Linked DNA regions of Oryzias latipes. The main gene of each other region encodes a partner of the protein of the gene in region 3 in a complex. Links are inferred from orthologs where the notes say so. Each region holds a gene or a part of one and is shown on either strand. Other genes may lie near its edges.

Region 1 (3,987 bases), on a different chromosome or scaffold from region 3:
TGGGTTAAACCTCTTTTTGAACAATGTCAGCATTCACAGCAAATCCAGTTTGAACACGTTTCATCTGTTTTGTGTTCACCCTGACCCCGCCTCGTGTCTCAGTCCATCCACGCCTGAGACCCGCTGGTGTTGGGTTCTTTCAGCCGGTGGCGTGTGTCAGCTGACCCTCTTTAAGAGCCAAGGTCAATGCTGTCAGTTTTTGTTCAGTATTGTTGTACTGTGATTGAATTTTTTTTTCTCTCACCACGAGAACTGCAACATAAATATAAAAAGGAACAAAATCTGTTTTACCTCTGTTGTGTGTAGTACTAAAACAGAAAAACTGCTTAAACTAGAATTTTATTTTTATTTTTTTTTGGTTAAACTCTCATTAATTGTTCAAACATTTCATACAAGCACCTGCATTCCTCTGTAAACCTCTCAGACTTGTAGATGGTTTTGATTCCTCAGTCCAGCCTGAATTTATTTTTTACAAACATGGCCTGGTCAGGTGAGTTAATAGTTTTGAAACCAATGTGTTAAACAATGAAGGTGACATTTTAGGCCTATCTGACATTTTAGATCTGTGAAGATCCACACCTGATGATTCATGGAAAATTAGGAAAAATAGTCTTTATTTATTTGCCACATGGATGTAGCAAATAATTTTTTCATCAGACAGTAATATAATTGTGTTTTATAGATGTGGTTGAAAAAAATACATGTTTTAGAAAGTTCCAGCATGATGTCAACTGATTTAAATGTAGCTGTTACTCAAATACATGAATGTGGATCCACTGCATAAACTGCTTCCATTATTCCTCCAGGTAAAGAAAATAAAAGAAGAAAATTAACTTCTAAAAAACATCCACAATCTATATGGCAAAGATAAGATAAAATGAACTGAGAACAAAGAAAACAGTGAGGAATGTCTACGAAAAAAGTATAAATAAGGATAAAAAATGTTAGTAAACACTTTTTATCTGAGGCTAAATTGAATAAGTATTATAAAATCGCATTTTAATCATGATTTTATATAATAAAAAGTTTGTTAAGGTCTTAACACGTCTTTTACATTTATTTTTACAAAATTTTGCGGCGATTTATTAATTTTTATTTTGAACAAAATCTCTACAAGTTTGTTTAAAATGCAGCAGGACCATCTGCACGGCGTTAATATGCCCGACAGGAGGCGCTGTGATCAATGACGTCGTTGTGATCAATGACGTCGTTGTTCAGGAGCACAGAGGAAGAAAAGCTCGACTCTGATTGGACGGCAGGAATACATCAACAGAGAAAGATGGCTGAAGTGGTGGAGCTCCAAAAGCTGAAGGTTGGTAGAATTAAAAATACGTTTTTCCTGACATTGGGTGAATTTCTTTGTGGTGGAAATGATGAAGTCAGTATTTACACCGGAACCAGCTAGCGGGGTGGCGGCGGGCTGCAGAAAATCGTGTTCTCCGGGTCTTAAGTCTACGAACCGGCATGTGTTCTGAGCTAATCCGGGCTAAAAGAACGACGAAGGAAACGCGGAGGGAAATGAACGGATAATCTGAGAAACTATCTTTCAACCCACCAGTAATAAAGTTCGACGTAAAACAATGAAAACAATCAGTTACAGCAAAAATCGAGAGGTGGGTAAATGGACCGAACCACAACCGCTGTTTGGAAAGACAAAATAAAAATGAGAGATTTTTTTTACTTAACTTAACTCAATCCTGCATTTCTGCTTTTCAAAGCAAATGTGATGAACGACCATTTTGAAAATAAGTAATCGTAACATACATATATATATATATATATATATATATATATATATGTATATATATAAAAGGAAAAATAAAATTCTAACAATGCACAAATTATTGTTATCAATTTAAACTGATTTAGTTCAACAGATGATGAAATCAGTTTATGTAGGTGCTTTCAGATCGTGGTAAATTTATCTTTAATAAAAAAGAACCGTCCTTTCGTTTACAGAGTTTTATGGAATAGTAAGAAGGTTACTGATGTGGAGATGGAAAAATATATATATATTTTTTTATAGTTTCAATTACACCAATATTTCCAAGCAGGTGTTGGCTGATCTATGTTTTACTTTTTTTGAATCACGTCAGTAAATTTTAAAACCAATTGTTAATTTGAGGTTTCATCTTCCCTTTCAGCTTGCTGAGCTGAGGCAAGAGTGTGACGCCCGCGGTCTGGAAACCAAGGGAAACAAGGGCGAGCTGATCGCTCGGCTCCAAGCCTACCTGGAGGAGCACGGTGAGAACCGGGTGACCCGTTTTTGCACATCAACCAAATGTTGTTTCCTGCCAGCTCATATTGTCTGTGTTGTCATCCAAACCACAGAGGACGATGTGGATGTTGATGAAGTTCTGGCAGAGGACACACCGGTAATGTCTTTTATTCTATCCGTTCTCTTCTAGTTTAGCAATAAAACAGAAACGTTCAATCAATGTTTGTTGAGAAAATCAATATTGATTTGTCAAATACACAAATCTATTCATTTTATTGATTACATTTCTTCAGGCAGACACAGCTCACACACAGTTTTTAGTTGAATAAACTCCAAATTTTATCATGAAATATTGTTCAGGTTTGTTTCTTCTGCTTGTTTGTTTCACAAAAGCAGTATGTCTGTTTTTTTTTCTTTTCTTTTTAGGAATTCACTAAAGTTGAGAGCTCCAACAGCATAAAGGAGGACAACCACACTGAAACAATCGCAATTCCAGAGTAAGTTAACTGTACAACAAATGTGCTTTTTCCTCTTTACCTTTCAGATTCCTCTTTGCGTGTGAATAAAGTTATCGTTTATCATTAACTATTATTGTAAGATAGTAACTTTTCAGGGAATTACAGTCGATGTTGCTCAGATGAGAACATCAAAAAAGAGTTCAGCTGGATCTGCTGGACTGTCATGTTCTTAGTTTTTTTTTTAATTTTTGAGAAAATAAATTCTACCTTCAGGTCTGAAGACAAGAAAGTGGTGAAAATCTCTCCTCCGTTGTCTGCTGGTGAAGTAAGTATGAGTCGTTTTCATTCACAAATAAACCTTGGTTTAGATTTTAGATCACGTCTGAGCTCTGAAATCTAATTTTAGAAGAGAAAAGCTTCAGAAAAACACTAGTTGACCTCAGACTTCACCTTTGTGCTCGTGTTTGCTCCTTTGGTTTGGTGTTTTTAGATTAAGTTTTGCTGAAATCTCACTTTGGGTAGATGCTAAAGCCAAACTGTTTAATACAAAAACATCTATTTTTCTGAAAAATAAAGCAAATCTTTCCTAAAAAGTGGAAAAACGAATCTGTAACTTAAATTTAACCAAATAAGAGCACAACCTAGTTATTTAAACTTAAATATTTTGCTTTTTTAAAGGACTCCATCCATTCATATTATTCATCATACTTGATGAATAATATGCTCTTACTCTGATAAGGACTGGATTATGGTGACTTTGCAAAAAAATAAATAACAATAGTGGTAGGATAACATCAGTGGCGGACCGTGCATTACACACCTGGGCCTTCAGTAGTGCAACGTCTGAATCACTCAACGCCTCATTAACCATATTATGATGCAGAAACTAGCTTTGCATTGCAGATTGAAAATTCCTGCAGCCACAATCAGTGCCTCTAAATACAGAAAACAGTAAACAAATCTTGTTATGCAACTACAGCCAGCACAAAACATTACCGCTACCATAACCACATCAATTAGGAATTTATTTATGATATTTAGATGTTCACTCATCAGAAGATGAGATTATTTGATGACAAAATCCACCCTCCTCTCTTTCCTCAAACAGTTCCATCATCCTGTCATGTAGATTATTGCTCTTCAGTTCCGTCAAGAAGTCATTTTCTGCTCGATCAAGGCCAGTGCTGAGAGCCCAGTCTGTCCATTTGTGTTGCTGCGTAGGTTTGAATTCACTTTAGATCCGAAAATGTCCGCTGGTCAGACGCAGTGAACACGGGGATGGTTGGTGCCAAACGCACAAATCTGTATGGC
Region 2 (4,056 bases), on a different chromosome or scaffold from region 3:
GATGCATTTTTTAATTTTGAAAAAAATTACTTTTTGGAGCTCGGCAGAGGATTTTTTTGCTTAAAAGTTTTTAGTTTCTGTCGCTGCATACATATTACATATAAAAATATCTATAAATATTTATTGTAGACCCCAAAGTCTCCCATGTCTTTAGACTACTATATAGTGAAAACTGCAAAAGATAGGACTTCAAACCTGTAAAATATTGTAATCCGTGCGTTTTTGTTTTTTCTTTTAATTTGGAGGTTTTACTCTTTGTGTAAGTATTGTTTAAAAAAATGTTTTCATTGAAGATTGATTTACTCATTTACAAGTATGAATGTATTGACTTTTTTCTTTTTGATATATGAGAATTACTTTTATTTGTGTGTTGAATTGGTTAGCAGAAATCAACATAATGGGATGGTATTCTCATTTCTGTTATCAATTAAAGGCTAATTTCATTAAAAAGATCATTAAACTGGAGAGAAGATGTAGTCTTAAAAATTAGCACAATCGAGACAAGGATACTTAGGCAAATAACAATGATCCATGTAGAAATGCATGTCAACATGTCATTTTGGATTTGTTTGGTTTGGTTTGCTTTGTTTAAACTGCTAAATCTGTGCTTATTTGCCGTTTGTCCACTTATTCCATTTATATTTTGTATGTATATTGTAACACATGCCAAATAAACCCTCTATAAAAGTGTTATCATTTTGGCATGAGAGTCCAGCTATTTTTAAATAAAGCATAGCCATTTTTTCCATTGTAAATCAGTTTGATTTTTCCAGATTCATTTAGAAATGTCTGTCATAGTGTTTGTAATATTGTTGGTCTATTATTTATTTATTTTTTAAAGGAAGTTACTTTATTTAGTCTGGTTTATGCCATATTTCAGACACAATTTAGCCCACTTTTGGCATTTCATCAGGTTTAGTTTCTATAGAAAAGTTACTTAGGCCAAATATGACCATTGAGTTGAGGTTAACTTTAATTGTGAATCATTTTAGGGATCGGATGAGGACCAGATGAAATATATCAATGAAAAATCGTGTAATAAATTCTAGGTAATCCTTTAGAGAAATTAATATATGTTGATCCCGACAGTTAGGCTAGTCTTGGGTGGGTCTGCTATTTTCTCACACTATCCTAATTACCGGTAATCTTAAAATGCATTTGCGTTGGATTCTTTTTCCAACACAAAATACGTTGAAAATGTTTAACTGCGTTCCCAAGTATAACGCCTGTCCTCCGATACCCGCACCAAACCCTCAGAATCCCGCCATGCAACACTAACAACGGCGGCTCATCCCCACATTTGACCCTGTGTGTGCCATGATTATGAACTAGACATCCGGGCGGTGTGTATGGAAGATGGCGACACTTATTATCTCTGGTGAATGGATCAAAAACTGGGAGAAGTCTGGAAAACACGAGTTGTGAGTACATGTTTTAATTAAATGCGGTCCTCGGCATTGCGCCGTTTCTTTGTGTTTACAAAACAAAATTGAAGTAGCTAGCATTTCAACAAGCGAAGGACAGTCCTTCAGCCGTGTTAGCCATAGCTGTGTTAGCAACAACGTTAAAATGCTTGTGCGGCTAACTTTAAACTCTTGTAAATACACATCTGCAACGCTTGACGCTAAGCTGTAAAAGGTTAAAGAAAACACTACAAGCTCAAGTCTGTTAGTTTACGTTTCCTGTGAGAAAACCATGATGATGTTCAAACTGTTTTTGCGAACATTACGGCTATCAAAGCTAAGCTAGTTGGAATACATTCAGCTAACACGTCTCATCGTGTTAGCCAGCCAAATAATCAGTGACGGGGGAAAGAGCTTTATAACTGCTCATCTTTATAACAGACGTATATAAATCAATTTTCAGCATTACGTTTGGGGACTTGCTTGTTAGATATACTTGATCAAGTGGAGGGAAACGAGGGATTTTACAACAACGTTGCATCAAGTTTAGCTAGCTCCAGTGTTGGTTGTGTTATCGTATATCGGCCACCTTTTTTTGGTTTCTTATATATTTTATTCAGAAATCCATGACATTGGGAAGGGAAAGTGTGTTATTATGTTTTCTCTTTAAATACACGTGACAATTGTAAATGTATATGTTGATTATTAATCCTGAATAGATGCAGTCTCTGAATTTAGATGCTGCGGCTAACTTTACAACTTTGATGTTAGCTAATCTGAAATTAAGCTAGGTTTTGCGCTAGTTAACACAGCGGGCTATTATTTTCTTGTTAAATAAAAGCTTAAAAGTTAGGATCCGTTTTAAGGAATAGTACCAGCAGATTACATGCTTATAAGAGTCATCCATTTTACATATCACCGTTACCGTGGCCATCGTGTTTACCACAGCAACAACAAAGGCCCCTACACGTTAAGAATTGGACAATAGATAGGGTAATAAATCAAATGAAATCTTTAGCAAAACGGGAATGATGTGTTTATTTAATTAGTCCGCGCACACGAGACACAGACTTGCACTCTAGGCTCACACCCATAGTGTTAGCTGTTCTTCAGTCTGCATAGGCCCACAGGCTGGAAAAAGCCTGCACTTTACACTTAGGCACTAGCTTCTCTGCTTGGAGCTGATAAAGGGTATTAGAAGAAAGTTTCTGGGTTGTCACAAGATGCCGTTTAAAGTTTCACTAAATGTCATTTAGTGTTTTCACCAAATTCAACTTGCTTTAAACTAACTAATGTCCACTCTGTAGCAAATTATCTGACATCTGGTTTAAGCAAGTAAGATATTTGTTTCAAAGTATGTTTACTTTTTTATATATTAAAATTAAAAGCTTGCACTTTTTTTGAATCTAGAAAATTTCAGCCCCCTTTTCTTCTTTTTAATGCTTTTGGGCTCTGGAAATGGTAAAATATAATCTGAAGTAAAAGTAAACAGAATACGGCACAGTTTTGTAGAAAGTCGTTTAAAACATGCAGAATCAGTGATTGTGGTTTCAATCTACTCAACACAATGCGGTTTACAATTGGATTCAAATTGCATCTGTGGCCCAGAGGTAGAACAGTGGACCTCTGATCAAAAGGTTGCAGGTTTGATTCCCCCCATGCCTGCCCATGTGTCAAAATGTCCTTGGATAATACACCTTACCCCATATTGTTCCTGGTGGTCTGTTTGGCGGTTGGCAAGACGTCTCCACCGTCAGTGTGTGTGAATCGGACTATAAAGCACATTGGGGCCTTTACCATGCAAAATATTTTTTTTTTGTGTATTTTAATGTTCATTCCTCACGGAAAGAAACCCCAAAGCTGTATTTGTGATCCGTTAACACATATGAGTATTCCTTTAAAAACCTGCACTCTGAGCACCAGCCCCTGCCCACCCATGAAAATGAGTGGGTTCTCACATTGTGACGTAGAAAAGTGAAGAATAGCCCCTTCCAGGAAGAATCTGCGCTCCCAGCCCCAGACTAACGCACATACACACTTCTCCGTGGAGCTAAGGGTGATTGGCAAATCTTCATTTTATATGCATAATATGCACATCCATCTTTGCAAAAGTTTGGATGTTGGTTAATTTTGTGAGCTAGACGCAGACGTGCTGCGAGGCCGTCTCTAGGTTGACATCATGAAACGCCCACATGTGCCTCAGAGATCGAGTAGTCTTACTTCCCAGTTGTTAACGACCTCAGGAAAATAACTAATATTTCATTAAAAAATTGTTCTTTTTTATGACAAAGGTAAAATATTATCACATACATGGACGTTGTTTGCTATAAAAGGCTTAAGAATAGGTGGTATAGGCCCTTTAATAAACTGTATTCGCCTTTTACTATTATGTATCAAAACTCATTTCAAAGCTGGTTTTCAACTACGTTTCTGTCTATTCATCCCATCACTCAGAGTGAAGTTCTTTCGCTTTTTCCAGGATTTCTTTTCCATGTTCTAGATTACTAAAGATTTGTTGTTGTTTTTTTTTTTCTTGATAGCATACAACTCTGCAAAGACCTTACAGAGAAAAGTGATCATGGAAGTGAAATTAGAGGTAAGTTCAGCCTGGCTTGTTTCTTGTCTGCATGTCTGAATTTGGCCATTTGTATGC
Region 3 (4,148 bases):
ATACAAGCATGAAAAAATTAACCTGTTTGATCCTGCAAGACACAAATTATATTTGTATTTTACTGTTGCAATTCTTTTCTTTGGAAATGAAGTCTGCAGTCGACACAAATTATAGGTCTTGTCCTGTGAAACCCACTTTACAAAGTGCAAAGTTAAATGATTGCCATCACACTGTAATGGGCCAGTGCTTCTAATGTGCAATGTGACGTTGTTCAACAGTAGATTTCATCAAAGCATTCCAGCCCTGCAGCACTGTACTCTGTAATGTACGCCCACAACATGCAGAAATGTTCCCCAGTGCAGACAGACATACATAGACCACACTAATCGAACACCGTGACCTCTCCAAAACCAGTGCTATGTAAGTATGAATGACACTGAGCTTTTTCCTAGTGCACAGGTCTAACTAAATAAAAAAATTGTAACTGTACAATTCAGTTTAAAAATGGATTTAATGTTTCAGCAATGCAATTGAATTAAAATTTACTTTATTAAAATAACAATTGTTAAAGTTTTATTTCAGCTTAGAAGAGAAAGAATACACAAATGATTACAAATTTCTAAAATATTTGATTTATCCCACCATTATTCAGTGACACCGGTCACCAGCAGATGAAACGTAGCTTTGTTTCAAACTGGATGAAGGGTTCAGTAGTTGAAAGAACAGTGTGCAACACTGCCCCCGTGAGGTCAAATGTGGAAGTGAGGCAGCTTCCCCCAATCTCACTCTGAGGTCAAATTATGAGAATTATCGAACACACGCGGATCTTTGGCTCATTGTCGCAACTTTATAGCACGTGTTAAGACGGTATGATAAAGTTTTATTCAAAAACATGTTTCAAACAGCAGCACAATTTGGTGGTTTTAGGGCAAAAAAACACATCAGTGTAATTTCTAAATCCCTTGTTAGAAAACTAACAAAGATGTATTCCTCAAAAGATAGAAACAAATGCGAACTACATTTTTAACATTTATTCTGAACTTTATGTATTAAAAATACAATTTAAAATTGATCATTATCTGTAAGCAAAAAAAAAAGCTTTAAAAAGTTCACAATGACGTTTTTTTTCAAATATGATTTTTTTTTAAACACATGAATTAAAGAAAGTGAAAAATTACAAATGTGGAGATTGGCAAACCTGTACAAATGTGGTATTTACGTCGCCCTAAGTATTAATTTTAGGAAACCGTCTAAAGTTGTCATCAATTATGTATGTAAATATTTAATAAATGTTTTTTCCGTTTGCATTATATATTGTATTTATGTCTACATTTTATTTTGTAATTTTTGTAAAATAATTTTTAAAAAAATAACGGGAGGGAGCGGTCAGAAAGACCGGAAGTACTTCTAGGTGCACTTCCTGTTGCAGCAGTAAAGATGTCTCCGTCCTTGTTTAATTTTGTCGATGTTAAAGACAAATTTACGGTGAGAGTTTGCAGGATGAGTTTTAATCATTAGGCATGCAAACACATAAATATATATACGGTGGATGTGATCAGAACGGTGATAACTTAAGTAGTTTTTTTAAATTAATTTTCTGTTTTGTTTTTCTACATTAGCTGTTAGCATAATGCTAACGTATTGAAAAGAGAGACGTTTTCTTTCGTATTATTCTCACATTTTCGTCCTCAGGTTGCTGCCAGACACGCCCTAACGGGTAAAACCTGCAAACCTTTGGTCACATCGTTTAACCAGATCCCTGGGAAGTAAGTCTACATCACTTCGACTTGTTATCAATTGTAATTTTTACCTATAACGAATCATTGACGTGTGTTTCAGTGAAACGGAAAAGAAAACAACTCTTGATCAGGCTTTGAGGGGCGTTCTTGGAGATCAGATTGTAAGCTGTTTCTTTAAAATTATCCAATGTTCTGCATTTGTACGCAAAGCTTAAAGGCTGATCGTTTCTTCTGTAGGTTGAGCAGAAGGCCAGCTGTGATGACTACCTGTCTCTCATCTACTTGAGCATCGATGCGGTCACAGAAGGTGTGATGCTAATGCAGAAAGTTGAACCGTGTCTTTTATTTAAATACAAATGAACAGGCCCTTTTTTTTTTAGCTGTTATTATTTTGACTTTAATATCTTGTTCATGTTTATATAGCAGAAATAGTCCATTTTAGCCACTCTTGTTTCGGAACTGTTGTGTTTCCGGGACGTTTACGGTACTCTATTTCAAAAGAAGTTAGTCTTAAAATCAAAACAGTGTAAAGTCTCGTCTTCAACCTTTTTTCTTCGGTGTTTTCTTGTTTTTGCAGGAATCTGCTCCGCTACAACGCCCTTCGTCCTGCTGGGAGACGTACTAGACTGCCTTCCACTCGATCTGTGCGACAAAATATTCTCTTTTGTCGAAGAGAACGTCTCCACTTGGAAATCTGTAAATAACTTACCCCCCCAAATGTGAAATATTGGTCTATCTGTCATGTAATATTAAATAGTATTTTTCCTTTTTTCCAGAACTCCTTCTACAGTGCAGGAAAAAACTATTTATTGAGGATGTGTAACGGTAAAATCTCCTCCATGTCTAATGTTATTCATCATTTCAAATTTGAGCAGTGAGTGACGAACTTTTCGGACCCTTTAGATCTTTTGAGGAGACTCTCCAAATCTCAGAACACGGTATTCTGCGGGCGAATCCAGCTGTTTCTTGCGCGCCTCTTCCCTCTGTCAGAAAAGTCAGGTGAGGACCCCAGCAGGGGGTTTGTTGTTCAGTTGTTGGGTGTTGACATCAAAGATGACATCTTAGATTGGAATTTTTTGTTTGTTTGTTTTTTTTCCCATCTAGGTCTTAACCTGCAGAGCCAGTTTAATTTGGAAAATGTAACAGTCTTCAACAAAAATGAACTAGAAAGCACTCTTGGCCAAAAGGTGGATTTTCTATACCTGAGGATTGATTCCAACAGTTTGGGTTGACTGATGACGGTTTTTTTTTCATGTTTTTCCAGAGCACAAATGAAAAGGAAGAAGGCATGGAGGTGGAAGAAGGAGAAATGGGGGAGGAGGATGCTCCTGCTCAGAGGTTTGTAGTAAAATGTTACCGATCCTCGTACAAACTTCTGATTTGCTCTTGACACCAAATGCTCCTCGGATTGAAAAGCTGTTCATCAAAATGTCGATTTCAGCTCCATTCCCATTGATTACAACTTGTACCGAAAGTTTTGGACGCTGCAGGACTACTTCAGGAATCCTGTGCAGTGCTATGACAAGTTTCTGTGGATGACGTTCCTGAAGGTAAAGTTCCTGAACTTCAGACGTATGCATGTGGCGAACCATAGCTAACCTCCTGGTCAGTTCTCAGATGAGACTCTAGCTGTGTTCAAGAGCTACAAGCTGGACGACATGCAGGCCTCCAAGAGGAAGCTGGATGAGCTGAGAGGATCTGATGGAGAACATGTTTACTTTGCCAAATTCCTCACCAGTGAGAAGGTGGGAAACTTTGTCTTTTATCAGCATACGTTTCTGTTAGAAGTCATTTTTAAAAGTATTAGATGTTTGTGGGGTCATGGGTCTGTTACCAGAGGGGGGAAAGGGTGGGCTTGTCTATGTTTTTAAGCCGCATAATGCAGGAGAAGCACTTTTCATGAGTAAATTGTGATCTGGATCTGACTGCTGACTGTTGTTCCTCTCCTCCTTCTTTCAGCTGATGGACTTGCAGCTCAGCGACAGTAATTTCAGACGCCACATCCTGCTGCAGTACCTCATCCTCTTCCAGTACCTGAAGGGCCAGGTCAAATTCAAAAGGTTCAACCTGAGCACAAATGTAACTCGACGTTGAAAAATCTGCATCGTCATGTTGGGGAAATAGAATCCTTTTTCATCTTTATCCTGCAGCTCCAGCTGTGTCCTTAATGACGACCAGACCACCTGGATCGAAGAGACGACTAAACTGGTTTATCAGGTCAGTTGAGGAGGAAAAATGGGGAAATCTTTTTATATTTATGAACTTTATAATTTATAGTTTTGAATGTAAACTGTTGAGGTCTTGAAAAGTCAAAGAAAAGGGGATGATGGAAGCCTTTTCTTTGGTTTTGTAGCTGCTGAAAGAAATCCCTCCTGATGGAGACAAGTTTGCCAGCATGGTGGAAGTGAGTCCACATCATATCCAACCGGTCAAGGTTTTGGGTCTCTGTACATTATTCTAACTTATAT

The links.
Region 1: thoc1 (region 3) and sarnp share a complex: the UniProt entries of both Homo sapiens proteins name them as parts of the transcription/export (TREX) complex. The link is inferred for Oryzias latipes from reciprocal best matches to the Homo sapiens genes THOC1 and SARNP.
Region 2: the proteins of thoc1 (region 3) and thoc2 are in contact, whole or in part, in a cryo-EM structure (PDB 7ZNL), measured with the Homo sapiens proteins. The link is inferred for Oryzias latipes from reciprocal best matches to the Homo sapiens genes THOC1 and THOC2. Residues at the interface, in NP_005122.2 of Homo sapiens: Asn134, Arg138, Asn141, Leu144, Arg145, Lys149, Thr153, Cys156, Gly157, Gln160, Leu161, Ala164, Arg165, Phe167, Gln242, Phe245, Arg246, Tyr297, Ala299, Lys300, Phe301, Arg319, His320, Leu323, Gln324, Ile327, Tyr331, Arg373, Phe374, Lys376; in NP_001075019.1 of Homo sapiens: Leu155, Phe156, Tyr157, Lys158, Gln160, Asn163, Leu164, Leu165, Arg166, Asn169, Glu170, Ala173, Lys174, Ile176, Ala177, Gly180, Gln181, Asn195, Lys197, Ser198, Leu199, Ile200, Gly201, Cys202, Phe203, Asn204, Leu205, Pro207, Asn208, Arg209.

The regions. Positions count from the first base shown.
Region 1 is NC_019865.2:25,904,982-25,908,968, forward strand, and holds the start of sarnp (SAP domain-containing ribonucleoprotein), read left to right. Parts: upstream 1-1,185; 5' UTR 1,186-1,201; coding exon 1,202-1,312; intron 1,313-2,144; coding exon 2,145-2,244; intron 2,245-2,331; coding exon 2,332-2,375; intron 2,376-2,644; coding exon 2,645-2,715; intron 2,716-2,949; coding exon 2,950-3,001; intron 3,002-3,987. UniProt on the Homo sapiens protein: Binds both single-stranded and double-stranded DNA with higher affinity for the single-stranded form. Specifically binds to scaffold/matrix attachment region DNA. Also binds single-stranded RNA. Enhances RNA unwinding activity of DDX39A.
Region 2 is NC_019872.2:16,174,150-16,178,205, reverse strand, and holds the start of thoc2 (THO complex subunit 2), read left to right. Parts: upstream 1-1,254; 5' UTR 1,255-1,356; coding exon 1,357-1,421; intron 1,422-3,943; coding exon 3,944-3,999; intron 4,000-4,056. UniProt on the Homo sapiens protein: Component of the THO subcomplex of the TREX complex which is thought to couple mRNA transcription, processing and nuclear export, and which specifically associates with spliced mRNA and not with unspliced pre-mRNA.
Region 3 is NC_019875.2:28,356,411-28,360,558, forward strand, and holds the start of thoc1 (THO complex subunit 1), read left to right. Parts: upstream 1-1,342; 5' UTR 1,343-1,378; coding exon 1,379-1,426; intron 1,427-1,633; coding exon 1,634-1,707; intron 1,708-1,780; coding exon 1,781-1,841; intron 1,842-1,917; coding exon 1,918-1,987; intron 1,988-2,257; coding exon 2,258-2,376; intron 2,377-2,456; coding exon 2,457-2,505; intron 2,506-2,583; coding exon 2,584-2,679; intron 2,680-2,784; coding exon 2,785-2,867; intron 2,868-2,944; coding exon 2,945-3,018; intron 3,019-3,121; coding exon 3,122-3,230; intron 3,231-3,290; coding exon 3,291-3,425; intron 3,426-3,639; coding exon 3,640-3,740; intron 3,741-3,830; coding exon 3,831-3,897; intron 3,898-4,033; coding exon 4,034-4,084; intron 4,085-4,148. UniProt on the Homo sapiens protein: Component of the THO subcomplex of the TREX complex which is thought to couple mRNA transcription, processing and nuclear export, and which specifically associates with spliced mRNA and not with unspliced pre-mRNA.